4 linked regions of the Coturnix japonica genome follow. Each later gene encodes a partner of the first gene's protein in a complex. Links are inferred from orthologs where the notes say so. Each region holds a gene or a part of one and is shown in the gene's direction. Other genes may lie near its edges. The genes, in order: DNAJB13, DYDC1, NME5 and ROPN1L.

Region 1 (7,702 bases):
TGAACGTGAGATTGGGACGGAAGGGAAAATCCTGCTGCTGGCTCGAGAAGACAAGAAGCTGCAAGGAGTTGGGCTGCAGAGCAGGCAGCCGGTAAGGAGGCTGAGACTATCAGTAGTGCTTCAAAATAACCCTGTGCAGGAGGGGATGGGAACCAGCACTGAGCACACACTGGTTTTGTGCTCCAGGTCCTGTGGCACTCCCCTGAGTGTGCTCAGGTGCTGCTATCTATCCAGCTCTCTGGGGAGCATTGCCTTTGGCTGGGGTCCCAAGTTGCAGTATTCTCCCCTGTATTTATTCAGAGAAAGAGAGACTAAAGACCAGTATAAAGGGATCCTTTCTCTCCTTTTTTTTCTGGCTAGGTTTATACGTGGGGGGTTGAGGAGTAAGAATTGCTTGTGTGTTCCACGCAGGTATGTGGCAAGCTAAACAGCAGCCAGTAGATGTCATTGAGAATGCAGGAACAGAAGCTGAGTAAATTGCTGTCCTATTCCTGGCTGTCCTGTGGCTGCTTTGGCACATCTGTGAGATCTCACACTTTGCCGTTCTTTATATTCCCAGGTGTTCCTCTTTGATGGATCTGATGCCTTCAATTGCTGCACGTTCCTCTCAAGTACCTATTTCCTAGCAGGGACTCAGGATGGGAACATCTATCAGCTGGATGTGAGAAACACCAAGTGAGTACATACGTGGGGCTGCAAGTCTTGAACCACAATTGTGGTTAGTTGTTTTCCTCCCAGGAAGAGTCAGATCAAAGGTGCTGGCAGACAGTGGAGGTGGATACAGCCCAGACAGTGGCACTGTGAGCTTTGGAACCCCTTGCAGCCTTTTCCTTCTCTTGGGTAGCATTCAAGAGGATGCTTTGGCAGGAGCTGCTCTGAGGTGGCTTGTAGTTGTTGTAAAGGGCAGACTCTAAGCAAGGAGCATCCAGATGGATGGGTGAGGACAGAGGAGCCTGGCATGGAATAATCTGACAAGTCTTTCAATCATATAAGCTCCAAACTTGTGGCTGTTTTGGTAGGGATAATCCCCATGTTCTCCTTGTCTATCTTTTAATCACTACCTCACGTTCTGCTTTCAGCACTCAGACATTGGGATGATTTGTCCATAACGCTCTTCTTCCCATTCCTCTTTTTTCCAGTGCTCCAATCCAAATCATTCACAGATCAGGAGCACCAGTGCTTTCTCTGCTCCCATACAGAGATGGATTCATTGCCAGCCAAGGTAACTCAAGTGCTGTGTGCAGATCATAGACTTGAGCTGAGCAGTTCTTTGCTCCTTATGCCCTCTCTTACATACAAACACAGGATGTCCGAGCCACTAGGAGAGGGTTTCACAGAGTGTCCATTGCAAAAAGTTGATGTAGTGGAACATCCTATTACGTAGTTGCTTTTTGCCTTGTGATTTTTCTTGTGCTCCCCCATATCATGGCCTGCAAGGAGCTTCTCAGTCATTAGAGCCTTTTCTCATCACATGTCTCCCTTTTCTTGGGCATTTCTGCTGGGCTCATAGTGCTGTTTATAGAAAGAACGTGGCCTGTTTTTACTCATCACCCAATATTCTTTCCTTCCTTGGTGTTCCTTCTGCTTGCGTAGGTGATGGAACGTGCTTTATCATTCAGCAAGACCTCGATTATGTCATCGACCTCACAGAGGCAGATTGTGACCCTGTGTACAAGGTAAGGCCCACAGTGCTCATCCAGCTCCAACCCCCTGCTATGTGCAGGGTCACCAACCAGCAGCCCAGGCTGCCCAGAGCCACATCCAGCCTGGCCTTGAATGCCTGCAGGGATGGGGCATCCACAGCCTCCTTGGGCAACCTGTTCCAGTGCGTCACCACCCTCTGGGTGTAAAACCCTCCTAAGATCCAACCTAAACCTCCCGTCTCACTTTCAAACCATTCCCCCTTGTCCTATCACTGCCCACCCTCACAAACAGCTGTTCCCCCTCCTGTTTATTCGCTCCCTTCAAGTACTGGATGCCCACAATGAGGTCTCCCCGCAGCCTTATCCTCTCCAAGCTAAACCAGCCCAGTTCCCTCAACCTTTCCTCATAGCAGAGCTGCTCCAGCCCTCTGGCCATCTTAGTGGTCTCCTTTGGACCCACTCAAGAGCTCCACGTCCTTCCTGTGCTGGAGGCCCCAGGCCTGGATGCAGCACTGCAGATGGGGCCTCACAAGAGCCAAGTAGAGGGGGACAATCACCCCCCTGTCCCTGCTGGCCACCCCTTTAAATGCAGCCCAGCACACAGTTGCACTTGGCCTTATTGAACCTCATTGTGTTCTCCCACCCAGCTTTGTTGGCTTATTGCATTATTTCCCCCCCCCCTCCTTGTTTCAGGTCGCTCAGTGGGAGAAGCAGATCTACACGTGCTGCAGGGACGGCGTGGTGCGGCGGTACCAGCTGGGAGACCTGTAGGGGTTAATGGGGGGTCTATGATCAACATGGCTGTGTGTGTTATAGGGGATGTGAGCAACATGGCTGTGTGTGTTATGGGGTCTGTGAGCAACATGGCTGTGTGTGTTATGGGGTCTATGGGGTCTATGAGGGAGGGATGGGGCTGATGTTATGGCTGTTTCTGCTCATTTCTGCCCCTTCCAGCCCCTTTTTATCTGCTGTGAGGTGGATTTGGGTGTTAAATCGAGGCTGTGGGCTGAAATAAAGCCGCTTTCATAGAGTTTGTGTGGAGGAAAAGTCGGTGTTAATCTTAAAGCTCCGAGTGGGTTGTTTGGTACAAAATGGCGGTGGGTGGCGCTGAAAGAACTACAACTCCCATCGTGCTCCGCGCTAACGGAAACGGAAATATATCAGAGAGCCGGAAGTGCGGCCTACAGGCGTTGCCTTGGTAACCCATCCTCTGTTTGCGTAACCATAGCGAGGAGGCCGCCATGGGGCAGGATTACTACGCCGTGCTGGAGCTGGGCCGCCAGGCCACGGACGCCGACATTAAGAAGGCGTGAGGGGGGGTGGATAGACGTGGGTTGGGGGCGGGTTGGGGGCGAATGGCCGCTTCAATCCCAGCATGGGGCCTAGCGGGGGCTGTAGGCCTCGCTGTGCTCCTCATCCCGCAGGTACCGGCTGTTGGCCTTGGAGAACCACCCGCAGAAATGCAGGGAGCCGGAGGCGCAGGAGCGGTTCAGGCTGTTGGCGGAGGCCTACGATGTGCTGAGCGACCGTAAGCAGCGGGGATGAGTCCATAGGGTCACAGAATGGGGCTGGGTTACAAAGGCCCACAGTGCTCATCCAGCTCCAGCCCCCTGCTGTGTGTGGGGTCACCAACCAGCAGCCCAGGCTGCCCAGAGCCACATCCAGCCTGGCCTCATCCAGGCTGAACATCCCCCTCAGCCTGGCTCCGTCCTCTGAGCATTCCCATGTCCTCCTATAGACCCACAGCCCCACGTCCCTCCTGTGCTGGAGGCCCCAGGTCTAAATGCAGTGCTTCACATGAAGGGGACATTCCCTTCCTGCCTGTTTCCCTCTATTGGTGCAGCACTGCTGGCCCTATGTGCTGGGATTACTCATGTCCTGCTTTTCTCTACCACAACTCCCACCTCCTTCCCCTCAGGGCCGCTCTGAGCGCGTCCTTCTCAGTAAGATATCTGTTCCCCGTCTCTCCTTGCCCCATAGCTGTAAGGAGAGGCATCTACGATCGGTTCGGTGAAGAAGGTCTCAAAGGCGGCGTCCCTGTGGAGTCTGGCAGTGAGGATGCCTGGACTCCTGGTTATGTTTTCCACAACAACCCCGACAGAGTCTTCAAGGAGTTCTTTGGAGGACACAACCCCTTTGCAGGTGGGTGGCTGCTCTGCTGCCATCCATGGGGCAGCCTGTGCCCTTTTAGGGCTGTGCTCATCACCAGCCCCTGAACTTCTTCCTAACAGACCTCAAAGCCCCCTCAGCCCCATCCCTTGTTATGGGTGCCCCCAGCTCAGGCTGCCCAGGGCCCATCTGTGGCCTATGGCACCTCCAGGGATGGGGCACCCACAGCTCTGGGCAGTGCCGGGGTCTTACCACCCTCTGAGTGAAATATTACCATCATCTCATCTCCATCTCCTCTCTGCTACAAGTTTTGTTCTTTCATTCACACTGGGAATGTGGTTTGGAGCCCCGTATCCTCCATGCTGCCCCATGCAGAGTTCTTCACCAAGGATGGTGTGGAGGCGACGCTGCCCTTTGGAGGGCTGCGAGGAAGAGGTGTGATGAAGCAGGACCCCCCGATGGTGTGGGACCTCCATGTCTCCCTCGAAGACCTTTTCTTTGGCTGCACCAAGAAGATGAAGATCTCCCGCCGGGTAAGGACAGTGAGGGACCTTGTGCCAGGCAGGATGAGCTACACCTTCCCCCCAGCAGATTGCATTGCACCAGGGTGCATCCAGCCCGGCCTGGAGCTGTTCTGACAGCAGAGGTTTCCCTTTATCCCCCCAAACTCATCCACCCTGCAGGTGATGAACGAAGACGGCCAAACAAGCACCATCAGGGACAAGATCCTGATCATCGACGTGCAGCCGGGGTGGAAGCAAGGCACCAGGATCACATTTGAGAAGGAAGGAGACCAGGTAACCTCTGTGACCTGAAGTTGTGGGCTGGGCCCATAAAACCATTCCTAGAGCTCCTTTCCCACCCCCATCCCCCTTTTTAGGGCCCAAACATCATTCCAGCCGACATCATCTTCGTTATCCAAGAGAAACCTCACCCGAGGTTTAAAAGATCCAACGACGACCTCATTTACGTGGCCAACATCCCCCTGGGAAAGGTGAGGAGCAAAGGGAGGGGGCGTCCAGCTGCCTTTTGCCTTCAGCCAGCAACTGCAAAACATGCAGAAGGAGGATAGCGCCGGGTTCGGAGCCTCGGCCCCTTTGGTCCCTATGGGAGTTGTCCTTGGCACCATGGTTAATGATGGGGGGCTCTGTGTGGCCGCATCTGCAGCTCTTGGTCCTGCTCTGTGTCTTTAGGCACTGATTGGCTGCACAGTGGAAGTGAGGACGCTGGATGGGCGGCTGCTGAACATCCCCATCAATGACATCGTGCAGTGAGTGTGCAGATCTGCAGGCAGATGGGTGCTATGGGAGGAACCTCTGTGGGCTGCCAGCTGCTCCTCTTGGGTTTCTTGGGTGCTCCAAGAGCTTTGGGAGCAGGTTGGGGGCTCCCACCCTCAGCTCCCTCTCACTTTGCAGCCCCACCTACTGCAAAGTGGTGCCTGGGGAAGGGATGCCGCTGCTGAAGGACCCGCACCAAAAGGGCGACCTCCTCATCCAGTTCAACGTCTGCTTCCCCAAACGTCTCAGCCCCAACAAGAAGGTGCTCCTGAAGAGAGCGCTGCTGCCCTAAGAGCTGCTGCCACCCCCCGCTTTCCTCCCGCTGAGGCCGCCAGTGCTGAGAGTGAGGTACAAACGGGGCTCCCCGCAGCCCAACTCTGCTCCCCTTGTGTTCTGCTGCACCCATCACTGCTCTCCTCCCTTCCTTCTGCACTGCAGCTCTCCCCGCTGTTGGGCTGCTCCCCTTTGGCAAGAGCAGAATCATTGAGGAAGAGACCACGAGGGCTGGAACCCAACAGCAGCTCCGGACCGGGAGTAAAACCCCACCCTCCCCTCTAATAAAGAGAAGGTGACAGAACCCCAAGTACTACTGGGATAGACCCCATAGGGGTGATTTATTTGAAGCATCAGTGAGGAACACCTGGACTTACCGCATCCCCCATGCCATAATGCTCCTCCCCACCTGTCCATCCCACTGCTGCTGGGAAGCTCCTAACTGGAAAACCTCAAGGCCTTCTTCCTTCCTCTCCCTGCTCCGCTGCGCACACCTCCATCATCCAGACACCTCCATCCATCCATATACCTCCATCTGGTCACCTCCATCCTCCCTCTCTGTCTGTTCTCCTCCTGCTGGTCCCTCACGAGCCACCTTTGGTCCCTCTCATCCCATAGGCTCAGGGGGACCTTTGCTGTCTCCCTTCCCCGCCGCTCCAGCAATTAATATAATTGACTGCTGCAGCTCATCAGCGCTGACGATTTGGGGCTGGGGTCCATCAGGGCGGTGCAGACCGGGCCAGCATCACCAGGCGCTGCAGCTGCTCATAGGAGATGAACATCACCACGTTCCAGGAGCCGAGGCGCAGGAAGGAGGGGACGAACCTGCAGTGAGGACGGCGGCGTTGGAGGGGACGGCCGCGGTCAGCGCTGTGTGACATGGCGGTGATATGGGGCTGGTGTTGCTGCACTCACCCCTTGTAGAGACCAGCGACACCGTCCTGCAGCAGCAGGGCCAGCAGGCAGCTCGGCACATTGCGGTACTGCCCGGGGCCCGCGTTCATGTACCGCGTCTTCACCACGTCCACCGGTGACGCCACCACTGTGGCGCAGAATCCAGCCCCGAAAGCGGCCACGAAGTGACAGGGGATGTTGTCTGTGGGGCAGGATGGGGTGTGAGGGCTATGGGGATGGGGATGGCACACAGGGCTGTGCCTTCAGTCCCATCCTCACCCGTCATCAGCTGCGCCCGCAGCAGCGCGTCCTTGATGAGGTCGTAGGTGACGAGCTCGCCGCAGTTAATGATGGCGTTGCGGGCGATGTTGGGCATCGTCCCTGTGGGGAGTGTGGTGCTGTTGGGACTGCTGGGTGCCCCAGTGCCACCGTCCCTGTCCTCCCATCCCCATCCCTCGTCTCCATTCAGGGCTGAGAGATGGGGCTCATAGAATCATTAATGGTGGAAAAGCCCTCCAAGATCCCCAAGTCCAACCCCAACCCAACCCCACCAACCCAGCCCCACCACACCCACTGATTGTGTTGCTCAGTGCCACATCCCTACAGTTCTCCTAGAGATCTCACCTTTAAGGAGGGCCCTGGCACTGATGCCCAGAGCTGTGGGTGCCCCTCTCTGGCAGTGCCCGAAGCCACAGATGGAGCTACAGACACCAGGGCTGCAGGAGGTGTCCCTGCCCACGGAGGGGTTGTGGCTGGATGGGGGCTGAGTTCCCACCCTAACTCCTCTGATGCTACAAGTCCTGTTCCCATCCCATGCCATTCCCATCCTCTTTTCTATTCTATCCCTATCCTCACGTCATGCCATCCCATCCCATCTACCTTCCTCACCACTACCTCCTCTTCCATCCCACCCCATCCCATCCCATCCCACCCCACCCCATCCCACCCCATCCCATCCCCTACCTCTCCACAGCCCACGCACTCCCTCCTCCCTGGCGATGGTCCTGTAGGCATCCACGGTGCCGTTGTACCGACGGTTGCTCTCAGGCAGCGCCCCAAGAGCCTGGAACCGCACCTTGACCACGTCGGTGGGTTGGGCGCATGTCACGGCCACGGCCCCCGTGGTGCATCCTGCCAGCAGCCGAGCCAGCAGCCCCGTGCCTGGGGAGGGCACAAGTTGGGAACCCCATCCCATACCACAGGTAGGGAGAGGGGTGACTCTGGGGCTTGGGGATGCAATTTGGGGCTGGGTTCTGCATGCTTGGGGTAGGTTGGTTCCCATTGAGGTAGCTGGTCCCTACTGGGATGAGCTGGTCCCACATTGGTGTGGGTTGGTCCCCTAATGGGGTGGGTTATCCCTATTGGGATGAATTGCTCCCCCACTGGAGTGGGTTGGTCCTCCTTCCCATGGCTGGTCCCAACTGGGATGAGTTGGTCCCCCCATTGGGATGGGTTAGCGTCCAATGGGGTGGTTACACCAGGTTGAGATGCACAACATGGGTGAGT
Region 2 (7,901 bases), on another chromosome or scaffold:
CGTTCGCTAAGTATTACAACATTATCAGCCAGCAGCTAAACAGTAGCACTGGAGTTACAAAAGCAACTCCAAAAGTTAAGACGATTCAAATTGCATATCCAGCCATATCAGAATTGAAGTTCTCCTCCCAAAACACATGCACCTAAAGAGAGCACCTGTGCACTGTAGCTGTTTTCCTAATTAGGCAGAAGAGTTACCAAGAACAAGGCTGAAAAACAACTTAGCTGTTCACACTGATAAGACACATAAACCAAATTACTTACTAAACCCAGGTATGACATAGCTACTTGTTATCTCCAAGAACAGATGCTCACCTCTCCTCCCTCAACATCAAAGCAACAACTAGTCTGACCATCTCTTATCACTATCAGCTGGTATTTTATGATAGTCACACACTGTTTCTAGTTCAATGTACATGCATCCTTTCCCCAGTAAAACTGGCATAAATGCAGCACAACAGCCACATAGCAGTTACTGGCTAGTTCACACTACTTGAATTGGAGACAGCTGTGCATATCCTACCTAAAAACAAAATGTTACTCTTCCAGTTTCAGCTGCACACAATTGTCTCTCCTTCAGTGCCTGCTAAGATGCTGTTCTGGTTTTAGGAGAAAAACAATGATAATACACCTGTATTTCCAGCTGTTGCTGAACACTGCTGTACAGAGCCAAGCATACTTCATTTTTCCCCACTCTCTCTTACCATCCTACCAACTGGGGGATGGGGAACTAACAAGGATCTCGGAAGCACAGGGCAGGGCACCCAAGCAGCTGGGAAGGGATAGAAATAAGACAGCTGACTTTAAGTGGCCAAAGGGATATTCCATACCATATAACATTACGCAAAAGGAAAGTTTTGAATGGGACATGAGTCCTTTTTTCTCTCTCTCCTGCTGCTTGGGGCCTAGCTGGGCATCAGTCAGTGGGTAACTTCCTATATACATTCACATATATGTATTTCTCTTAAGTAGTATCTTGTTTTCTTTTCTCTTTGTAAACAGTTTTATCTCAACCCATGAATTCTACTTTGTGTCTGTTTTTTAATCGATTCTATTCCCAAGCCTATAGGGAAAAGCAGGACAGGGTCTGGAGGGAGAGGAGCTAATGACTGTGTGTTGTTTAGACACATGCTAAGTTTAACAACCCCAACACTTTAGTACAACTGGTTTTCTTAGTACTTACTTTCTTATCAGACCTAAGGAAACTTTAAAGAGGAAGCCGTCTTGTCCAATTACTCCCATTCCACTTGCTCTTCCACTGCTGTCTATACAGACCATCTCTGGTTCCATGTCTTTATTTGCTACAAGGAACTGACCATAAACAAGGTCTCCCACCTAAAGCAAGCAGTGCCAGAAAACAACAAAAAAAAAGAATCATTAGAGAAGATAACAATGCACATTTGTAAGAAACATTCAGTCCATAAAGAGACAACAAAACAGTTGTAAACTGGATGAACACTTGGACAAGAACCAGCAGCGTACACTTGCAGCTCAGAAGGCCAATGGGATCCCAGGCTGGATCCAAAGAAAGATAGCTAGAAGGGTGAATGAGGTAACTGACCCCTTTATTCTGCCATTGTGAGGCCCCACCTGGGGTACTCTGTCCAAGCCTGTGGCCCCTGACACAAGACCATTGGAATGGGTCAGAAGAGGGCCGGAGCGCCTCTTGTGTGAAGAAAAGTTGAGAGAGTTAGGCTTGTTGAGCCTGGAAAAGGCTCTGGATAGACCCCATCGAAGCCTTCCAGTGCTTATAGGGAGTGACTTTTTATATAGCCTAGTAGTGACAGGACAAGGGGGAATGGCTTTGAATTAACAGAGGGGAGATAAAGGTTACATGTTAGGAAACAATTCTTTACTCAGAAGGCGCACCAGAAGCCATACCAGTCTATTCCATTTAAAATCACAGCCCATTTTACACCATGCTGACAGTGTTTCTGGTGAACGCACATATCACAAAACAACTTGTAAATGCTACAAAGCAAACCCTCCTCTACCAGCACCAGCGTTCAGAGGATGCTTTAAAGCCTCAGGGTGGCCCCTTGGGACCCACGTTACTGCACGAGTAGCACCTGCCACTGTTAACCGATGGGAAAGGTGTAAGGTCAGAAGTGAAGAAGCACAAAAAGCTCCGGAGAAAACAGAAAAAACTCACGGCCTCATCGGGACACCCCGTACAGGCCATGACAAAAGCTCTGTGAAAAAAGTCACGTTCCTCGTTTATATGGTCCGAGTGGTAAAAACACCGTTTACAAAGGCAAGCTCCCGGCGGGCAGCGTTACCTGCACGTTGGGCCTGTTCCTCTTGGTCGCGCCCTCGAAGGCCAGGTATGACAGCGAGGCCTGCTCGCTACCACCGACGTCCAGCCGGAACACGTCCCCCACCTTGCCCGTCACGATGCCGATAACGTGGTCTCCCTTCACCGGCACGTACTACAAGCGGGTACAAGCGATCAGCGGGCTCGTCCCGCACATCACCGCCCCCCGCCGCCCGCTGCCGCCGTACCCGCTTCTGCTGCGAGTCCACCCAGTAGGCGCCGCCCGCCGCCGCTCCGCCGCCCGCCTGCCGGTGCCGCAGCAGCCCGCACTTGGTGACCAGCAGCCCGCCCGCACAGCGCCGCAGCCCCGGCCCGCACAGCAGCCTCCCCCGCGGGGCCGCGCTGGTGCCCAGCGGCAGCTTGTCGAGGTCGGGCTCTCCGTGCTCGGGCAGCAGCAGCACATCGCCGGGCAGCACCACTTGTCCCACACGGGTCTCCGCCGGCACGCCGCCCCCACCCGCCATCGCGTGCGGCCCTTCCGGCGGAAGCAGACGCAAAATGGCGGCGGCGATGGAAGGGCCGAGAGCGCAACGACAGCGACACCGCCCGGCCGCCTGACGCAGGATCCAGCCGGGAGCGCGGTTGCCCGGTAACGCGGTTGGACGCGCTGTGCGATCGGGCCGGTAGGAGCGAAGCGGTAGGGAACGGGGGACAGCACCGCTACCACCTTCTCATATTAATTGCCTGATGAAATGAGCTTTGATAAAACCACCAACATCACACTGGGGATGTGATGCAGTCAACACTTCCTCTAACTGCTGTCTGAATTCCGATATCGGTGACTAATATCTGTCGGTTTGTCAGTAGGTGAGAATGGAGTCTCAATACCTGAGGAGATGTCTGGGAAGCTGCTTGAAAAAGGGTCTGGCGGAGGTTGTGGAGCGTCGGCCCGCTGACCCAATAGAGTACCTGGCACACTGGATCTACAACTACAAGAAAACACTAGAAGAAGAAAAGAAGGTGGGTCTACCTCGGGCAAAGCATTTCATGTCAATCTAACTGATGCTGTATAATCTCTCTTTGTGTTTTGTTTCCTTTTTTTTTCATTGATTTCTTGTTACCTCTGAAATAGAGAACGTTGGAAAGGGCCAAACTGGAAAAAGAACGGCAGGCAGCCCTGGAAGAACTTGAAATGTTAAGAAAAATGAAGGAAGAAGAGCTACTGATACAACAGAAACTTGAAGAACAACGGCAGGTTAATAGTTGTTCATAATTATAGTAGCGTGTGATGCTGGGTCAACTTGTAGCTCTCACTACAATAGTAGTCATTATCAACATAGAATCATAAGAGAATCAGAATGTTGGAAAGTACCTACAATTGTATTCTGATCTTGAAAGGGAAAAGATAACAAAAAGTGCTTAAACATTGCGTTTTGAAAATATCATTATTTCGAAAGGAATTAGAAAGGACAGCTGAGCAGCTGGGGAGAAAAACTTACCTGCTACATGACAAGATGTTACCAAAAATGAAGAGACTAAGCTAAAGAGAAACTAACTAAAGATATGTTAGAAAATTAGATTAGGATAAGTAGACTGTCTTCTGCAGTTAACTATCTTAGCTATTTTTTCCTCCCATAGAATCTATATGGATTAGTCTGTCTATAATAGATGCTGTGCAAAGCTTCAAAGAGCCTAATCCAAAGTATAGGAGATATAAATATTAACTACTAAAGAGCACGAGGAACTGAGTATCAAAAGCATATACGCTATCTTCAGCTGTCTTCTCTTTACAATAGGAACAAGAACGTGAGAAGATGGAACAGCAGAATAAAGAAGAGAACATGCAGGAGCAGCAGAAAGATCCAGAGGTTTAAGCCAAAGCTTAGTCAAGATAAAGAAATATTGTTAATCATCTCTCTTATTCAGATCCAGTCCCTAAATACAGAACACAAGGCAGAAGCCTTGAACACAACAAAACAGAAAGCTAACATTAGGGAAGAACGTTTAATGCTTCTTTCCAGCTTAGGTTTTAGACTTGAATTCTCATCTGTTCTATTGGGTTTCTTTAGCTTTTATTCAGAACAGAGCATAAAGTTATTATAAAATGTAGCTTAAGTTCAGATTTTTTTTTAATTAATAAAATACTAGAACTTGAACGTGTCTAACATGAATGCTTAGATAGTTACATTTTACTGCCTGGCAACGTGAAGCCCATTTGCCACACCTGGAAAAGGAACCAACACTTGGAGGTGGGATGCCTCTTGATTTTTTGGTCTTCCATATAAATACATAGTCATATGATGCTGTTTTGGTAAAACAGATTGATCATTGACACTTAGACGTGAAACATTTCCTAACTTTACTTGGAGCAGAATAGAGATATTTTTAGAGCACTGTGTTGAGATATTGATAGCACATAGCTAGAAGAATGACTGTAAATGTAACAGAAGTATGCACGTTTATAAACTGAAGCAAAAAAGAACCCTGAAACCTTTGTAAAAACAGTCTTTACATGCACAAAGACCCCATTTGCACACTAACACATTTGTGTAGCAAGCATCTGAAGTATTGTCTTTACATTCATACTTAAACTACATTTTCAAAGCATGTTCAAAGTATCCACTGTAGACGATTGCTCATGACACGGAATACTTCTAATTGAAAATGAATTTCCACTACAGGAAGATGAGAAGACAATAGCTGAACTTACAGATAGAGCAGGAGCACCTAATTTGCCCACAGTTGAGGAAGTAGATGAGAGTGGAGTGTCTGAGGTAAGTGTTTGGAAAGAAAAAGGTTACATGGAATTAATGCTCAAACATTTTCTTGCTGACAAATGGAAGACTAAGACTGTTCTAGTTAACCCTATACCGGTTCTTTACTACAATCTGAAGGGATATTATTTGGGCCACAGTCTTCATGCTGTCCTTAGGCTGTACATTCTGAAAGGCTGCTTATGTGGTGCTGAGTGAATAAAGTGCCAAAGATTTAAAATGCCCCTTTATAGTCATGTGTGTTATGAATGGATGTATTAATATTCTCAGACAAGAAGCAGCCTTCCTTCGCCTTTTGAGCAGGTGTCAAACAGGACACAGACTCAATCACAAACACTGTCTTGCTTCTGAATGAAATGACTTACATTATTCTGATTGGTCTGAAGTACATTGTTCATGCAGCAGAACGCAGAGATATCTGAACAATTATTTAATGTAAAAGACCAGGTACCAAGCGCACAGTGCTCAGTGCAGCAAAGACCTGCTAAGAATCAGGTTATCCAAACCCTGTGCCAGCATGACAGTACTTATTCCAAAACTACAACTATCAATCTAAATTGTGATATGCAGCCATCTTCTACACCCCTATTTTTTTATTCACTTTGTGCTTGACAATCCTAGTACATGAGAGGGTATAAATCAACTGTCATTGACTGTAAAGCATGGCAGTACATTAAACAGATGATGCTGCTTTATGCACATCACTGGAGATAAATATCAGTGTGTTTAGCTTTTTTCAGCTATGATATTCTAGGTAGTGTGACTTGGAATTTGGCTGGACTGGTTTTAGTACTGAAGCTGAGCCCTTTTTCCTTTGTTAGCCTCAGTCATTTGCTCACTTGTTTTCTGATACTGGTAGTATAATCCCAGCTCAGAACTGAAATTTGTGGTATTAGCACACTTTTGCTTTAGTAACAACCTGTTTTATAAAAGCCCTGCAAATACATTTGTGAATGTATTTATGACTAGGGCAAAGTTTCCTCAATTATTTGGATTTTGCCAAGTGGTAAATGTGACAGGATCTCAAGGCCTTGCTTAGTCCTGTTTTTTATTATCATTTTCTGGCAACCGAGTATTAAAAGCCATATATGAGGCTCTGGGTGTATTTTACACATCCTTAATGAAATGAATTGCAAAACCAGAAGTGCAAATGAATCAAAGTGTGCCCCGGTGGCGCAGTGGTAGGAATGCCGCCTTGCAACATCAGGGCCCGGGGTTCGAATCCCCCCTGTGGCGCAAGTGGTAGAAGTGCCGCTCTGCAGCACAGAGGCTCGAATCCCGGGAGTTGGACTCGATGATCTCTAAGGTCCCTTCCAACCCACACGAGACTATTACTATTACTATTGAACCATAGAATGGCTTGAGTTGGAAGGAACCTTAAAACTAGTTTAAACAACCCTGCCACAGGTGTAGTACTGCAGATTACGCCTACAAGGGCAGAGTAGAGGGGGACAGTAATCTCCTCCACCCTCATTCCTCTTTCAAGCAGCTCATGACACATTTGGCCTTCTGATCAGCAAACAGACTGGTCCCAAGATGAACCTCTGGGGTCCTCCACTTGTACAGAGAACGGTCAACCACAATCTTCTGCCGGTGGCCAGCTGACCAAATCCTTATCCACTGAACAGTCCACTGATCCATTTCATATCTTTCCCATTTAGAGACAGGAATGTGATGTAGGACCATATCAAAGGCCTTGCAGCAGTCCAGGTGTATGACGTATCTATTACCTTTCCTTTATCCGCTTGTCATAGAAGGCCACCAGACGGGTGAGGCACAATCTGCCCCTGGTGAAGTCACGCTGACTGTCTCAAATTACCTTCACGTATGTCTTCCACATCACCCACAAAGATTTCATGCCTAACGTTGTTTAAAGTTGGATTACATAAACCCTTTCATGATGTCATCGCAGGTTTTGCAGTGCTACAATTTTCATATGAAATCACAAATTAAGATCAATAAAAAGAAACTATAATCACCTTTAGCATTGAAACTATTCTGTTCTCGGAGTCATATCACATCATCCAAACTTACTGGATCTTAGATCAAGTCTGCTGATAAAACTTTGTCATATTTAACTGAATGGAAGGATACATATTTCTATTTATGAACAGACTCATCTACCATACGTGATTTTTCCTTCTTTGTACAATGTAAATGCTAACAATTGATATATATATATTTTGTCTTTAGACTGCAACTGATTGATTTAACACCAGAGTTTGAACAAGAAATTTCCAGCTGATCTGAAAGCAGTAAAAATAAATTCTACACGTTACCAGCTGACCCTGAAGGGCAATGCATTAATCTGTGTACTTGATATAGAGAACTGATTACATATATACCTGTTATTTTGGTTTCTTTGCTTTCTGGGTGTTCCTATAAAGCCTGTTAATTTTGGCATGCTGTGCTTCCTTTCTGTTCTTTAACCACAGTAGCTGGCATGGCTGACCTGGAGGAAGGAAACTGGAAATGGGATAAAAGAAATAAATGTATTTTTCGTTGATTACCTGTTGATTCTTGAAGTGGAAAATATATATATATATATATATATATATATATATATATATATATATATATATATATATGACCATCTGCTTTCAAGCCCCTGCTACAGCATGCAGGGTTGCCAACCAGCAGAACAGGCTGCCCAGAGCCACATCCAGCCTGGCCTTGGATGCCTCCATGGATGGGGCATCCACAGCCTCCTTGGGCAACCTGTTCCAGCGTGTCACCACCCTCTGGGTGAAAAACTTCCTCCTAAGATCTCAGTTTAAGGGTCTAAGTTTGAAACCATTCCCCCTTGTCTTAACACCATCCACCCTCATAAACAGCTCCCCTTCCTGTTCATATGCTCCCTTCACATATTGGAAG
Region 3 (7,698 bases), on another chromosome or scaffold:
ATAACAACTATTTGCTTCCTCATTTTTTTTACCCTCATACCCTGTTTTGCTGCTCACAAATTGAAAAGTATTAAATCTACCTGAAAATAGATTATCTAAATGAGCAACTATGGGCAAGCACCACAACCATCTTTTAATTGTAAAGTTTATGAATTTGAATGTTCCTTGAGGTCAAAGAACATCTAACTAGCAGGCCTGAAAATTGTGATAACATAGAACAGGTTGTGTATCCCTTTTCTAATATAGATACTTATCTTTACAAGGCTGTGGTTTTTAAAGTTTTCTCCAGTACTAAATCTTAAGTATAATTAGAAACAAAGATTTTTGTTGTTATTGTAAGATGTTGTTTCCCTAATCTGTACCATCTCAGGGAAACTTACCCCAAATCCAGCAAGAGATCTTCTGTTAGCTTCTTTTAGGCCAGCCTTGGCTTAGATTGTAATCAGATCTGAACCCAAAGCTGCCATCACCTGTATGTGTTAAGTTATACAGAGCCACCAGCTTGCTTCAATTAGAAATTATCCTGCATTTGCTTAAGTCACTCAGGCTGAACTGATATCTGCAGCTGGACTTAAATGGGGGGGGTGGGGGGGTTGGATGAAAAGTTAAGTAATGCCAAGCTTCATTAACTACTTTCTTTCTTGGATGGTTTTATATTTAAGGCAGATGGATGCAGAAGTGTATTCTGAAGTTACAAGTTTATAGACCGGCAGCAAGAGTAGATCAAAATGGGTGGCTGTTTATAGAAGTAAGTCTGTTGTCTAAGCTTAGGTTCAGATGATGGATATAATCTTTTGAGATCTGTTTTTTTCTGGTCAGGCCCATCTCCATCTCTCAGCTTGGCCATTCCAAGCAGCAGTTTCCAGCTATTATGTCTATTTGATGCTGCATAGAAACAAGGTAGAGATATATATCTAAGGAAGTAAAAGGTAAATGTCTAGTATCTGTATATGTGCTGTGCCCATGCACAGATGAGTAGAAGCTTTATAGGAAACAGTGAGTCTATGCCAGCCTCTAGAGGTATTCAACATGAATGCATCCTGAGCAGAACTGTGGAACTGAGCAGGAGAGGCTATTTTAAAATGGCTCAGTAGAATTCAATTGCTTCAGATGATTTACGTTGTAGGGGCTATTCTTTGTGGAACAAAAGGTAAATAGAACTTGATCAATATGTGTATGGGCTTACAACTGAAAGCCAGAAGTTGTGTGTGGAGTAGAAAATATTTGATGTGGAAAGACATGGAGAACTGACATCAAAAGATGGTCTACAAAATACAATACTTCTGCAGAAATTCTGAAAGGAAGGGAACGGTTTAAATATTGTGATCAGAGGAAAAGGTATCAGCAGTAACTGAGGTGAGGAGAAGCAGCTTGTGCAGGATCCCCAGCCATGGCAGTAACTCACAGAAGTCACAGCAGTTTGGACCAATCTGAATGTAAAACTCCCATTCCTGACTGTGAAGTTCCACCTACTCCTTTGTGCAGTTAAATGTAAAATAACTCAGCTGAAAAGTGGTTGGTTTTCAGCCAAATCATTTATCTAGCACACACTTATTACATGACAGTAAATTGCAATGGAAACACCTTAAGTTTGAAAGGAGGCAGTAATATGAGGCAATCGTATCTGTATTTGTCAATTAGGACAATGAGCTATGAGTTAGGAGGGAAGGGAGGAGAGAAATTATATCAGAGTTTACTGGTGCTCTTGCAGACATGGAAAGAAACACAAGGGAAGCTGTTGCTGTTGGGCTGTGGAAACAGCAGTAGGTGAAAATAATTGCAAAAGCCAAGGTAAGAGGAAAGCTAAACGTGCTAAAAATGACTGGAGACAGAAGAGTTTGGTTTAAGATTTGTTGAGAAGCTTTTAGATGAGTAGAGGAAGCAAAACTGTGATTGAAGTGACTTTAGGGTGCAGCCAGGCAGGAGATGTGGTTGGAAGACTTACAAACATGAGATGTGAGGAGGCACTTCTATGGAGGGGTTGTATTAAATTAACCGATTGATTACAAGAGACTGAAGTGCATCTGTGCAGGTGCTGGGGGGTCAGGGAGAGTGTGTGGCAAAAGCTGTGAACATATGAAAGAGTGGGCATGAGGATCAGGAAATAAAATAGAAGAAGGTCAGCAGAGCATGCTGTAGATAGGAAGTTTGTTATTACTTAGAGCCTTGTAGAAATAAGATCTTTAAAGAAAGTAGTGAGGTAGCAAATACATGAAAGCAGAAATGAAGGCTTGAATTGTGTTAGTCAGAAGCAATATAAAGTTAGCTCGGATTACAGGCGTGTAGGCAAGCTGCAGCAGAGTCGTTAGCTGTAAGAAATGGAGCAGGGAACGGGCTCACAGGAGCGGAAGTTTGCTTGGTCACAGGATTTCCGTCAAAGACACTTTGCACTGCAAAAGCAAGCACGGCTGCAGCACGTTCTGCGTGTGGGTATCCCAGCCTTCATCGTAGGAGACAGAAGCAAATAAAAATGATGTCAGTGGTGGACAGAAGTTGTTTGTGTGGCAAATGAATAGCCAGTCAATGATTACTACTATTTTTTTGGAGTTCAAAGTTTGAAAACAGTATCTTTTCCTTAAGAACATCATTTCTTTGCTACTAGAATGCATCTGCAGCCACAATCTTGTTATTATAGTGTTATTATATTCCATGCCAGCCCAAAATAAGACAACCAAGGCTTGTTAAACTGCTTAACAGGTCAGATACAGCAGCAGAGCTGTGCCCGGAGAAGTATTCGGGACTTAAAATGGTTTGTTGCATTGTAATTAAAATTTCAGGTTTTGTTTGTTTCTTTTCTTAGCTCTTAATAACATCCCTGGGCTACAGAAGTTAGAGAGGACGCTTCAAACCAGCCTTTTAGTCATTAAAGTAGCTTTAAAAGCGCTACAAAGATACCATGCGTACAATAACAGTATCAACACGGGGTTAAAAGGTCGGGTCTATGGAATTTAAGGATTTAGAAGAAACCTTTGAGATACTCTTAGCGTGTAAAGCTACTTCTTTGTTAGGGAACACACGATGTTATTTTCTCTTAATGCGCGGGGTCCCTTTAAATGTGCAACTCTGCATTATTAAACGGTCGTGGGAAGTGTAGCAGGAGGAAACCCCGGGTAATTGGCTGCAGCTTCAGATGCAGCAGCTCGCTCATTGGAGAGCAGAGGATTCTCTGAGTTGCTAAAATTAGATGATCTCCACCCTCCAGAAATGCTTCTGGAAACAGCAAGGAGGAGAAATTGTGACACAGAAGGATGGGGAGTGCACGGGACACTGCTCATGGGGAGGCTGCAGCAGACAAGGATGCACGGACAGATATTGATGCATTTTTTTTTTCCTATCTTTTTTAACTGAGAGCAAAATGCACCCAGCTAAAGGAACTGCGAGAGATTAAAGTCAGCAGTATTCTGTGAGGATATTAAATTCAACGTTTTTTAAGTAATAATCGGAAATATTCACTGGGGCTGAGGGAGGCTTTTGAGCTGCTAAGCCTGGGGTCAGCCTGTCAGCCTTGTAGGCGTTTGGTTTGCAAAGAGAATTAACCCTGAACTAAAAGGAAAAATAGATGAACTCCCAGATCTTTCTAGGAATTTATTTCTCACAAAACACGTCTTTCCCTTATCTGTGAGCAGTTGCTGCATTTACAGTATCTCCGACTGCTGGTTGAGCTCTCTCTGTTTAAGAAGCCGACATGAGTGCTTGTCTCTTGGTCCATCTCACCCCAAGGGCTCAAATGGAACATTAATTCCAGCTGGATGTGACAAACAGATGTCACCCGGGATCCCATCACTGCTGGCAAACACACAGCAGTGGAAGAGGCCTGAATGTGAGGAGTCCATGGGCTGGTGCTGGCGTTATCGCAGCCACCGGGCTGTGCTGAGCCGATAGCAGCTGGCAGGCCTCAGCGGGGCGGCGGGCTGCTTGTTTCTGTGTTAAAACCGGGTAACACCGGGGACAAAATGCCTTTCAATCCAAAGTGCTGAGAAACTGTGTTCTAGAGTTGGGAATTGAGGTCAGCGCCCGCTCTGTTGTGAGCTGCGGGTCCGACGGGAAATAAACAGGAGGTGCCGTGCGTGCTGCCGCCACACGGCGAGATTTAAAGAACCTGCAGGGGGCTTTGGCAATGAAAAGTTTGTTTCTGTTCCAAAACACCGGTTCTACAGCGTAACCTCTGTTCATGAGCGTCAGCTGTGAGATATTGCTTTCAGCGTGGAGTAAAACCGACAGAAAGCTGTGTCACAGGATTAACAACGCATCAGATCCCCAAAACAAGCTATTTTACTCCTTTCCTTACGCTCTTATCACACCTAGAGCTCAGGAAAGAGGCAAATGAGATCCGGAAAGCGCGGTTGCCGAGGGTGCGGCCTCCCCCCGCTCAGGCAGCGCCGCTCCCGGCCGCCATTTCTGCTCCACCCCCGCACACGCACGCAGCCGCCCGCTGCCAGGGCACGGCCGCCATCTTGTGGCCAATGGCAGCTGCCCGCATTGCCCTGCCGGCACCTGGCAACGGGGCGGGCACGGAGGAGCCGTTGGTGACCGGGAGCTTTCCGTGTGTGTTTGCGTGTCTTCAGAGACTCACGGGCACGGAGGCCAAAACCCAGGGAGAACCGTGTCTCAGGAAACCATCCCACGTTACTTACACTATTCGGAGATAAACGTTGTCATCAACTGCTGTCGTTGTAGGGCTAAGAAGTTCTAATGCAGAAAGATGGAGAGGCTCATGCCAGAACCTCAGATTTTTGTGGAAAAAACACTGGCTCTCATCAAACCTGATGTTGTAGATAAGGAGGAAGAGATAGAGGATCTCATCCTCAGATCCGGATTCCTGATTGTTCAGGTAAAAAGCTGCGTTCCTGAGATAACAGCTGCAGTTGGTGGGTCACGTCAATGGTCTTCTTAACTTTCAGCAGTCAGTTCAATAATTAAAAGCTTCTGTTGCCCAAAAATCGGTTTATATTTTTCACGTCATCAACCACAACTCCCAGATTCCTCGAGGATACATTTCGTTGGTGTGTGACATGGAAGAGAACCCACCAGACTTCGCTGACAGAAGAAACCCCATACTTCCTTCATGAACTGGGTTCATTAACAAATGAACTCAAAAACAAAAAGCCTTCTTCCATGTCCCCCCGTGGGGTTGGGTTGGTCGCTGGGTGCCGCTGTCGTCCTCATCGTGTTTGCTTTCTTCTCTTCCTCCTCCTCCCCCTCCTAGTAGTGTGGAGGCAGCACCTTCGGCACCGAACTTTGAGGGCACTGGCTGAGCAGCAACCAGGCTTCTAGATACAAGTATTACATGTATATGCTTCCCTAAAACTGTCATCTTTCGTAAATGCCTTGAAAAGTTTGAAAAGAGTTTGAAAAGAACTTGTTCTTTTTTAATTTCTTCCTCTACATTTCTGTTTGTTTTAAGTATAGGAAATTCATCAGAAGATTAGAGTTGTGTGTGTGCGTGTGTGTGTTTTGTTTTCTTTCTTAATGAGAAGAGCTTTACAGTCATTAACTTTTGACATTGAGGCTGATAGGAATCTGAATGCTCAGCACTCTGTATCACATTAGAGCAGGCTCAAAGAAAGGAGTTTTTAATAAGTTAATTTCTCTCCAGGCTGCCCTGTGCCCTCTGCTGGATAACCTGTTACACCTGGCCTAATTCTGGCTACCTGCAGGCAGGATAGCTATAGTGAAAATCCTAAAGCACCGAATGAAAGAAAGAACAATTGTATAATTAATGCTGCGGGTATTAATTATAACACAGAAACCTCTTGGTTGGTTGCTTCTTTGTTTTGTTTTCTTTTCATTGTTTGTTGTTTCTGTTGTTGTTGTTGCTTTGTATCTCAAGGGGGACCAAATCTGAGAGAATCAGACTAAGCTGGGAAGTTACCCTGTACCTCTTCAGCTTGCACTTGAAAATGTGACTGCCTCCAAAGAACAGTGTGGTACCTGAGGTAGCAAACCAGCTCTATTTAGTAAACTTTTTTCTTTCTCTTCTCTTTTACGCTTTTCTTAGAAACGGAAGCTCCAGCTGAGCCCAGAGCAATGTAGCATCTTTTATGCAGACCAGTATGGAAAAATGTTTTTTCCTAATTTAGCAGCCTATATGAGCTCTGGACCTTCACTTGCTATGGTTCTTGCCAGACATCGGGCAGTCTCATATTGGAAGGAATTGCTTGGACCATCAAACAGCATAAAAGCCAGGCTGACTCACCCTCACAGGTAAGCCTGGTTTTGGTGAAGTCAGAAGGATTCTGTTGTTCTCTTAAATAAAAGGGAGATCAGGATTTCTCCCGCCTTCTTCTGCTCTCTCTCTTTCAGACGAGATAAGGATTTTTAATATTATCTCTAGATTATGCATAGCATAAGTTTTCACCTTTGCATATGTAAAGTTCACTCATTTTACTGAGAACACTGAATGAATATGTAAATGCAAATTTTCATCTCCTACTTAATTTGTTTAAAAACAAATTATTTAGGCTATGTGTATTGCTTTCATACTGTAGACACTTCAGAGGTATTTGCAGTTGCCCATTGAGCAGGTCTTTCTCTTGCTTTTAGTTTAAGAGCAATCTATGGGACTGATGATCTGAGGAATGGACTTCATGGCAGTTTCAGCATTCCCTTGGCAGAAAGAGAAATTCGATTCATGTTTCCAGAAGGTAAAATGATGCTAAAAATTTACTGCCAGCCTTTAGGAGGATAGAATCCCTCTCTCTTATTAATTGTCTCTGTTCAGATTCTAGATATAAGTTAATTCAGAAGGGCTTGGGCTTGTTTGCTTTGTGCAAATGTGTATTTATTTATGTTGATATTTTTTCCTGCAAAAAGCATACCAGTTTCTATTGGAAGAGTTGTTATAGTTACAGTGACTGCTTCTACTTTTCAAACTCCGTAGTTTGGGAATTGGAGCAGATAAAACTGCAAATAAATCTGGAAGCTATTGTAACCTAGCACATTCTTCAGGCAGTGATCAGACCAGGGACTCCTATTGGCTTGAGAAGATTGTCCCTCTTGGGCTTGGAATGAGCAATGTCTGTTCAACAGCAATGTCTGTTCAACAGCAACTGTTCACTCACATGATAGTGCTATTCCTAAGGTAAATGCTAGAGAAATGGATCGTAGTACCTGGAAAACTGGGAGATGGTCTCTTGTTTATAAGGTAACATTGGAATTATGATTTTAGTCTTTGACAGAAAGAGGGGAAATTAGTAGAAAAGCTTGTTGTGTTTCCAATAGGCCTTACCTCATGTAAGCCATCACATTTGCTAGCAAAGCTGGATTTAACATGAGATATTTAAGGCTTCCAGAAACCAGAGCCAAGCTGCAGGAAGGAAATAATAAACATAAGGTATTTTCTTTCTCTCCTACCTCCTAATGAATCTTCAAAGATATAGATGTTTCTCCAAATGGTCTGAGTTTCTATCCTTTCAAAATTGGCTACAATTAGAAAGATTACCTCAGTGGCATTGTAAAGGAATTTAAATGGTGTCTTTGCAGTTTGTTGTGTGAAAATCTTAATAAATTATTACTATATTATTAACTTACATGATACACCGTTTACCTTAATATTATTATAAACAACCTATGAAAGACGGCCTTCCTTGATCACTCAAGTTGCTTTCCAACCCCTGTGTTTACTCTTTACAGCGATCTCAGAGCCAATTCCAGCTGGACAAAGAGTTAGAGATTACTTGAATCTTCATGTATATCCTA
Region 4 (7,734 bases), on another chromosome or scaffold:
AGGCACATCAACAACTCCACCTCAGTCTTCACAAGAATAAATGGTCATGTTAAACATCTTGACCTTCCCTCTGCCTTTACATGTTTCTTGTTCATAGACTTCTCTTCAGTTTTTGGATATCTCTCCCAATAATACTCTCAGCAGTGTTTCGGCTTTTGTTTGTAGCATCCAGATTGCAGTTAAGGCACTGTTCCTTATCTGCGTTTTCTGGTGTTATCAATACTGTCTGAGGTCTGTATATGTGTAAATAGAAGTATCCTGACACCCTAAAACCTTGGATTAAAAAAGAATGTGCATAGTACATCTTTTAAAAAAACAAACAAACAAAAAAAAGTCTATTAATTTATTAAATCTAGTTGTCACTTTATTTTGGACTGTTGTTCTGTTGACAAACAATGTGCCACAAAGCAATAGTGCAAAGAGGCAAGATGTTTTTTATAAAATCTGGAGCTTACTTTACGGTGTTCATAACAGTTCTTATTGTAGTAATATAGTATGATTTCTTCATGAGTGGAAGGGCCACACAGAGGATACGAGAAGTAAACAACTGTCTTACAGTCAGCAGTGAAGTGGCTGTGGTGAGAACGTAATGAACTGTGTATCTTGCTGTCTTTTTTTATTATTTTGTATAACACCAAAGCTGTTGTACATTTTTTCTATTGCCTGATTGTTTTTTTCATGTGTCTGAGTTTGTAATATTGTACAGTTACTGTTAAATCAAGAAAATATGTCATTTTTCTGAGAATTCAGATGTACTTGTTGAGGCTCAGCTGGGTTTTTCTCTTTTGCTTTGGGGATTTCTGGGGCTTTGGGAATCAGGATTTCCTGTACTGAAGCAGTAAGTAAAAATTCACTAAAGCTAGGTGATTCTAGGTGATACATTTAAAGGTACCGAGCAAAATGAGATAGGTTTACCACTTAATCAACAGAAAGTATTCTTTGTGACCCCCAAGTGAAGGGTCGAATCTTATCGATGTGTTTGCACAGAAACAAAGAGCGTAGTGTAAGCAACATTCTGATCTGGTCCTTCATTAAAGAGCTTGAAATCTTTTTTTTTTTTCTTTCCTGTGAGTTACCTAAGTTGCAAACTACTGCATGGGTTTTATTTATACAGTTACACTTCAAGTGTGTTCTTTCAGAATGGGTCAGTGTGAATTTTTCATGGCAGTAATCCTGAGGAAAGCATTCATCAGATAGCATGAATTGCCTGCAGAGAAGGGAAATCTATATGCTACTATATCTGCCATTAAACAGGCAAGGAAAAGTTAACAGGTTTCTTTGCAGGGGCAGTCCAGCAAGAGGCACTAAATCAAGTTTGTGTCGTTTCTGTATGAAGATAAGAGTTTTTTTGCAGTCATTTTTTTAATATATATCTTTTAAAGAGAATTCACAGAGCTTTAAGTACCATCGAATCAGTGCTTAAACTGCAGTGTTTTTCCTAAACCAGATGAGAGAATACAAGTATCCACTGCAGTAATCAGAAAATTGATGAAACAATTAAGTTTGGGACTTAGTACCTTGTCCTTCAGTATTCTGCACTTAACTATATATGTATCTAATTAATACTTGAGCATTTGGCAGGTTTTTAGAGCATGTCATCTCCTTTTATTGATGCTGCATCTCTGATCTATGTGTTTTGAACTGGTTTGGTCCAGAATATGATGGTGGTAGCGCGTATCTTGGTGTCTGGACTCATGTTCTGAGCACAAATGAAATGTATCAGAACGCATTGAACCTCACTGTTGGGAGGTCGGAAACTACTTCTTACAGAGTTACTGTTTTCCTGATAGCTTTTGGAGTGATTAATTAGGATGTTTCCAGTTGAATGAAGTTATGGAGAAGATAGCCAAGATGTTTGTATTTCATTCTCGCTGACTAGAGGCTAATTTGAGTATTCACCCCCAGATATTTTTGATCCGCGTAAGTGTTGCATTTGAATATTTCCAGTGGTGTAAATCCTCGTGGGACAAGGATGTTTTTTCCACAAGATTGAATTCATTGCTAACTTACATTCTTATTTTTTGCCAAAAATTCTGGCCTTGGCAAATCTTTCATAAAGAGTTCCCCAAATCTCCAACACTGGCAGCACTGCTGTGCATCGTGCAGAATTTGCAGTAGTGCAATTTGTGTAACTTTGGTGGGTTTTTTATCAAAACTGGTCTTAACATTAAAATTTATTAAGAAAAAGCCATTGTGCTGTTTCTTATTAGTGTTAATTTTGTTAAGTCATGATGTTAACCAAAAAACAAGAAGTCGATCCAGTCATGTAATGTGAACTGTAGCTATTTTAATGTAGCTTACATTATCTGTATTTGCTCTTTGTTAATGAGAACAGGTTTCAAATGAAACTCGAGCTTGCTTTTGCACTACTCTACAGATCACGGATGGGGTGAAGTTTCTGAAACTGTATTGTAAGAGTCCAAAATATCTCATCTCTTTATTTTAAGCATGTTCTAGGAAAGAAGGTTGTGTGTATATATATACATATATATATATAAAATTAAATGATTTCTTTTAATTATTGTTTAAAATTGTTATAGTTTGCCTTGCTGTGCTGTGTGTACTCTCCTGCGATGGAAACTTGATAGTAGGCTTGTCAGTGAGCTGTCTGTTGCTAGGACAGATGACAAGCTGTGTTCGAGTGACTTCCAGAGTCATGATATAGCGTGCAGTGGTTTTGCATTACTCTTTGAGTGGGAGAAGCTGTGTGTGACTTCATTACAGTCTCTGTTGATCTTAAGTAGTGAAGGGGGAGGGATTGGAGTTGTCTACCAGCTTAGCTGCACTGGCTCTGTGGGTACTGAGCGTCTGCTGGTGTTAGTTCTACAGGCCTTTATCCACGAGCTGTCAGATGGCTTTGTAGCTATCTTTTGCCTACTTAACTGCAGCATGGCTTTGACTGTTTTTACACAGAATATTTTTATATTGATTAAAAATAGTTAAAACTTCACATGTTTTCTCTGACTACCCCTTCTCCACTGGGTAAAGCCTAAGTAATTTGTTTATGTTCTGAGGGCCCTCTGGTGCCTGTAACTATTTTGCCAGCTGCTTTCTCAGTAGGATGCAAACTCCAGCCCCGATTGCAGCACTTTGCATCATTTCTCAGTAGGGCGCATTCCTCCCTTGCTCTCCCTTCCCTATGCTTGAGCAAAGGTCCTCATAAAAGTGTTCACAGCAGCCCTGTTATTCTTCAGAGAATTCAGTGAAAAGCCCTTTCCTGCACAACACAGATGGCAGTGGTTTGTTGATCTTGCTGCCTAGCAGGCTGATCAACACGGCTTTTTCTTCTACTTCACTGTCTGTCCATTTGTTTGTACCTCTACTGTAAGTTTCCTGTGACCAAGCCCGTGTTCTTGTTAGGTTTGCCTTATGTTGGGGGTTGGACTCGATGATCTCTAAGGTCCCTTCCAACCCGCACGAGACTGTGAGACTGTGATACTGTGATGTATAGGTGCTGTATGGTCTGAGCAATGGCTGGGATTCCCAGAAGAAATGATGAAATAATAAAGACATAAAACAGCGAACTGAATTCTTATAGTAAAGTTTAAATAAAGAACAGAAACTGTCTTCAAAAACAGACAAGGAGATGAGCTTTTACAAGGTAAGTGAGAGCTCTTTTCCTCTGATACCTCATGCCTGACTGGTGGCCAGTGCCAAAGGGGCATGGTTTAGGTTAGATTTTAGAAGGGAGTTTTTCACACAGAGGATGGTGACGCACTGGAACAGGATGCCCAAGGGGGCTGTGGGTGCCCCATCCCTGCAGGCATTCAAGGCCAGGCTGGATGTGGCTTTCGGCCTCCTCACAAACGAGGCTAAACACGGGTTAAACACGGGCTCTGCACCCGCGGTTGAGCGAGGCGGGCCGCAAACCGCCGTCCCATCCGCCCGCCCCCTCAGCTGTCACGGTGCGCTCGTTGCCGGGGCAGCGGCGGCGCAAACAAAGGTGAGGCGGGGCTGAGCGGCTTCCTCGAGCTAGGGGTGGTGCGGCGGCTGCATTAATCTTGAGGAAGATCAAGACTTAGCAAAAGGCAGCTGCTGACAGCAGAAGTAGTCTGGGCTTAGAGCTGTGGTTGGGCTCCATCTGCAGGCTTTTGCTTGGTATCAAGATTAAGGTACTCTGGTAGGCTCAGTAAGAAAGGGGGCAGTTTGGGTGTAAACATTGTGCGGGCAGTTTTTTGTTGTCATCCTACATCTGTTTTATTGTTAATCCCTTCAGGTCCACGTAACTGAACTTGAGAAGACCATGCCTCTTCCAGACACCCTGTTCTGTGCTCAGCAGATCCAAATCCCCCCTGAGCTACCAGACATTATCAAACAGTTCACCAAAGCTGCTATTAGGACTCAGCCTCATGATGTTTTGCAGTGGTCAGCTGCGTAAGTATGGCATCCTCATAACCATGTAGCACTGTCAGCACAGAACCACAAAGACCCAATGCTTCTGTTGACTGTATAGAGCAGTGTTGCATTCTTCAGTGTATAACACAACCTGTTGGCCTTTTAATAGTAGTATAGTACTTGGTTTAGCCTTTTAGTTTAAAGATTTCATATCGAGTTTTTCAGTACAAAGAAGACAGGGATCTCTTGGAAGGAGTCCAGCGGAGGGCCGCTAAGATGGTGAAGGGCCTGGAGCATCTCCCCTATGAGGAGAGACTTAGGGAACTGGGTCTGTTTAGCCTTGAGAAAAGAAGGCTGAGAGGGGATTTGATCCAGGTTTATAAATACCTGAGGTGTGGGAGCCATAGTGGTGAGTCTGGTCTCTTTTCAGTAGTGCGTGGGGACAGGACTAGGGGTAATGGGATGAAACTACAGCATAGGAAGTTGCGCACAAATGTGCACAAGAACTTCTTTACGGTGAGGGTGATGGAGCACTGGAACAGGCTGCCCAGGGAGGTGGTGGAGTCTCCTTCTCTGGAGATATTCAAGACCCGCCTGGATGCCTACCTGTGTGACGTGGTGTAGGGAACCTGCTTTGGCAGGGGGGTTGGACTCAATGATCTCTGGAGGTCCCTTCCAACCCCTACAATGCTGTGATTCTGTGAATTCTCTTTCTACACTGTCCTTGAATTTTATTTTGGAGTGTGTAGACCTGTAGACAAAATGGTTATGTGAGCATTGCAGTATATTGCCAGTTGGGCTTCACAGGTAGCATGTGGGAGGAACGCTAAATAAATCAGCTAAATAAATTGGAAAGGTACTCATCAATCTAATGGGAAAAGACTGTGCTTCAGTTGTGCGAGCATACTCTTGGTGTTAATAAATTTATTTCTGCCTTAATCAAAATAAGTTAAACTACTCATAAATTATGACAGTATGATAAAAAGGAGTATGTGATGTCTAGAAACTGTCTTCCACTGAAAAGAAAGGCATAGTGTTTAATCATCCTAGGTACTGGAGTGCCTTGCTGTTCCCATTCACTCAGGTACTTTACAGCACTGTCCAAAGGCGAGCCCCTTCCAGTGAAGGAGAGACTTGAAACACCTTCAGCAAAACAGAAGATGGATGCTGGTTTGACCCCGGGACTCCTTAAAGTCTTGCACAAACAGGTACAACCAGACATTTATCAAATGTGTGTGTTTGTCTTAGACAGAAAACATGCCAGATGATTAGTAGATGACTGTCAAAAATTTGATGCGTTTTGGGAAGGGTTGTTTTTCTTAGTTTCATTCTTTTTCAGAGTTCTTATTGCGGCACTGTAATTGTATTTACAGCTTTCCGCTAAAGGCACTGTAAGTGTTGCAGAGCTGAAGGAAAAATGGAAAGACTTGTGCCTGCCAGAGGAGCAGCTGGAAGCTATCCTGGAGTTGGACACCTTTGATGAAGAGGTGGAGTGGATGAAGATTCTGGCACTCGGGTGCAGCGTGCTTGGTGAGGTATGTCCACAGAATCATAGAACTGTTGTGAGTTGGAAGGAACCTTTGAAGTTCATTTACTCCAACTTCCTTGTAATGAACAGGAGCACCTACAGCTAGATTAGGTGCTCCTAGCCTCCTCCGGCCTAACATTCACAGCAGGAACCTTCCTGGCTGGCCACTAATGATAATGTATGATGATTACAGGTTGTTTTGGAAGGAGAGCTTAAGCAGTAAGGGCTTATCCTCATGCTTACTGGGATGTGGCAGTAGGACAGTAGGCATGTCCACTGGCAGCTCAACCAAGGCAATAGAGGAACAATGCTTATGGCATCAGTGTAATAGACAAAAGAGAAGAGCTGGAGGGAGAAATTAAAACATCAGTTTCTAATTGTGCAGCCAATTACATTTTCACAGAAGCAGTTAATGTTACTAAATCTACATTTAATTCTTCTAATGTCAGTAATAAAGTCTCAGCAGAGCGCTGCAAATGAATTGTTATGAAATGCTCGCACTAAGCTGATGTTCTTGTGAAGTATGAAATTAGAAGACTGCAGAAGGGGTACTAAGAAGAAAACAAATGCCCAGTAGTGTTTTGAGAATGTTGTGTTATTGAAAAGCAGTGGAGTCTCCTTCTCTGGAGATATTCAAGACCCAACTGGACACCTGCCTGTGCGATGTGGTGTAGGGAGCCTGCTTTGGCAGAGGGGTTGGACTCGATGGTCTCTAGAGGTCCCTTCCAACCCCTACAATTCTGTGATTCTGTGATGTTGGTTGACCCAGTCTGGCCATGCAGTTGTACTTGTCCACCTGAAGGGCATATTTCTTGATTCCAGCCCCGCCCAGAAATGGATTTGGTGATTTCTTTTACTTTCCTTCACTTAAAAAAAAAGTAGTAGTAGTAACAACAGCAATGTTACTTAAAAACAAAACAGAACAAAAACCACCAGATGACAAGAAAAGAAAACAACCGAAACAAAAAAGCAGTCCCAGGAGCCTTGTTCTGATGGAGCTGAACAACCTGAATTTACTTCCTTTATCCATCCTTTCAGATATTAAAATGATTTGATTTTATCTCTGCACGATGAAAACCTGAACTTCAGCTTAAACCAGAAAGGCTTACAAATTGTTACATTCTTTTCTTCCAATTTTAGTTTACATTCCTGAATATATATTTGTAAAGTCATTGCTTGCCTATTGATGAAGAAGTTAAGATAAATTTTGAAGAAATTCTAACAAAAATATGACTTCTTGGGTTAACAAAAGTCTTTTTCTTTGTGTGTTTTTGGGTTTTTTTTTGCTTTCTTCTTTGTGGGGCTTGAGGAAAGTAAGTTTTTAATAGTATCCAACCAGCCTTTGATTCAATCAAATTTCATGCCTGATTTTTCCACATGTCCCTTAATAGCCTGGGATGGATAGGGTACTGGATTACAGGCACCACGTGGAATAAAGCATTTTTTCAAAGCATGCTTTGAGCTAACACTTAGAGGCATGTTTTTGTTCAACAGAGAACTTGGACGCTTTTTGGATTCTTTTTGCTTCAGGGTTTTTTCCACTATTAAAGTGGAGCTTGCATACAAAGAGGGAAAATAGTAAATATTATAATTCCTAAGATTTAACATGGAACTGTTGCATTTTTTTGTTTGTTTGTTTTAGATTTGTCTATCAATCTTAACTGTCACTGCAAACCCATTTAGACCCATGAGCTCATATATACACGTAGACAGATAGCGAGGTTTGAGCTGTTGAGCGTTTTGGATACAGCTCAGACAACTTGGTGCAATCTTTCAACATTACAAAGTTGTGGTTTTTTTTTTTACTCCCGTTTATTACTTGAACTTTATTATTGTTTTGCTTTCACAACCTGCACTGTTTGATAAATCAT

Evidence for each region.
Region 2: DNAJB13 (region 1) and DYDC1 share a complex: the UniProt entries of both Homo sapiens proteins name them as parts of the axonemal radial spoke complex. The link is inferred for Coturnix japonica from reciprocal best matches to the Homo sapiens genes DNAJB13 and DYDC1.
Region 3: the proteins of DNAJB13 (region 1) and NME5 are in contact, whole or in part, in a cryo-EM structure (PDB 8WZB), measured with the Mus musculus proteins. The link is inferred for Coturnix japonica from reciprocal best matches to the Homo sapiens genes DNAJB13 and NME5. Residues at the interface, in NP_705755.2 of Mus musculus: Thr156, Lys157, Lys158, Thr181, Ile182, Asp183, Arg185, Trp188, Arg189, Gly191, Thr192, Arg193, Ile194, Thr195, Phe196, Glu197, Pro281; in NP_542368.2 of Mus musculus: Glu52, His53, Asn56, Met193, Lys199, Pro200, Lys201, Leu202, Cys203, His204, Phe205.
Region 4: DNAJB13 (region 1) and ROPN1L share a complex: the UniProt entries of both Homo sapiens proteins name them as parts of the axonemal radial spoke complex. The link is inferred for Coturnix japonica from reciprocal best matches to the Homo sapiens genes DNAJB13 and ROPN1L.

What each region holds. Positions count from the first base shown.
Region 1 is NC_029516.1:175,176,355-175,184,056, forward strand, and holds DNAJB13 (dnaJ homolog subfamily B member 13), read left to right. Parts: upstream 1-2,775; 5' UTR 2,776-2,884; coding exon 2,885-2,952; intron 2,953-3,067; coding exon 3,068-3,171; intron 3,172-3,623; coding exon 3,624-3,785; intron 3,786-4,127; coding exon 4,128-4,285; intron 4,286-4,435; coding exon 4,436-4,549; intron 4,550-4,632; coding exon 4,633-4,746; intron 4,747-4,945; coding exon 4,946-5,022; intron 5,023-5,167; coding exon 5,168-5,321; 3' UTR 5,322-5,377; intron 5,378-5,462; exon of another isoform or gene 5,463-5,467; 3' UTR 5,468-5,621; downstream 5,622-7,702. Other genes in the region: PAAF1 (proteasomal ATPase-associated factor 1), read left to right, coding at 1-91, 560-675, 1,140-1,222, 1,594-1,676, 2,337-2,414; mitochondrial uncoupling protein 3, read right to left, coding at 6,022-6,127, 6,218-6,398, 6,476-6,577, 7,160-7,357. UniProt on the Homo sapiens protein: Functions as part of axonemal radial spoke complexes that play an important part in the motility of sperm and cilia.
Region 2 is NC_029521.1:3,509,682-3,517,582, forward strand, and holds DYDC1 (DPY30 domain-containing protein 1), read left to right. Parts: upstream 1-2,820; 5' UTR 2,821-2,902; exon of another isoform or gene 2,903-2,950; intron 2,951-3,117; exon of another isoform or gene 3,118-3,120; 5' UTR 3,121-3,126; coding exon 3,127-3,273; intron 3,274-3,385; coding exon 3,386-3,508; intron 3,509-4,049; coding exon 4,050-4,121; intron 4,122-4,934; coding exon 4,935-5,225; 3' UTR 5,226-6,168; downstream 6,169-7,901. Other genes in the region: EXOSC3 (exosome complex component RRP40), read right to left, coding at 1,183-1,334, 2,279-2,428, 2,502-2,777. UniProt on the Homo sapiens protein: Functions as part of axonemal radial spoke complexes that play an important part in the motility of sperm and cilia. Plays a crucial role during acrosome biogenesis.
Region 3 is NC_029528.1:3,793,857-3,801,554, reverse strand, and holds the start of NME5 (nucleoside diphosphate kinase homolog 5), read left to right. Parts: upstream 1-3,227; 5' UTR 3,228-4,702; coding exon 4,703-4,831; intron 4,832-5,998; coding exon 5,999-6,204; intron 6,205-6,543; coding exon 6,544-6,644; intron 6,645-7,632; coding exon 7,633-7,698. UniProt on the Homo sapiens protein: Functions as part of axonemal radial spoke complexes that play an important part in the motility of sperm and cilia. Does not seem to have nucleoside diphosphate kinase (NDPK) activity.
Region 4 is NC_029517.1:52,305,682-52,313,415, forward strand, and holds the start of ROPN1L (ropporin-1-like protein), read left to right. Parts: upstream 1-3,812; 5' UTR 3,813-3,943; intron 3,944-3,949; exon of another isoform or gene 3,950-4,129; intron 4,130-4,216; 5' UTR 4,217-4,243; coding exon 4,244-4,374; intron 4,375-5,419; coding exon 5,420-5,543; intron 5,544-5,708; coding exon 5,709-5,870; intron 5,871-7,734. Other genes in the region: MARCHF6 (E3 ubiquitin-protein ligase MARCH6), read left to right, coding at 1-40. UniProt on the Homo sapiens protein: Functions as part of axonemal radial spoke complexes that play an important part in the motility of sperm and cilia. Important for male fertility.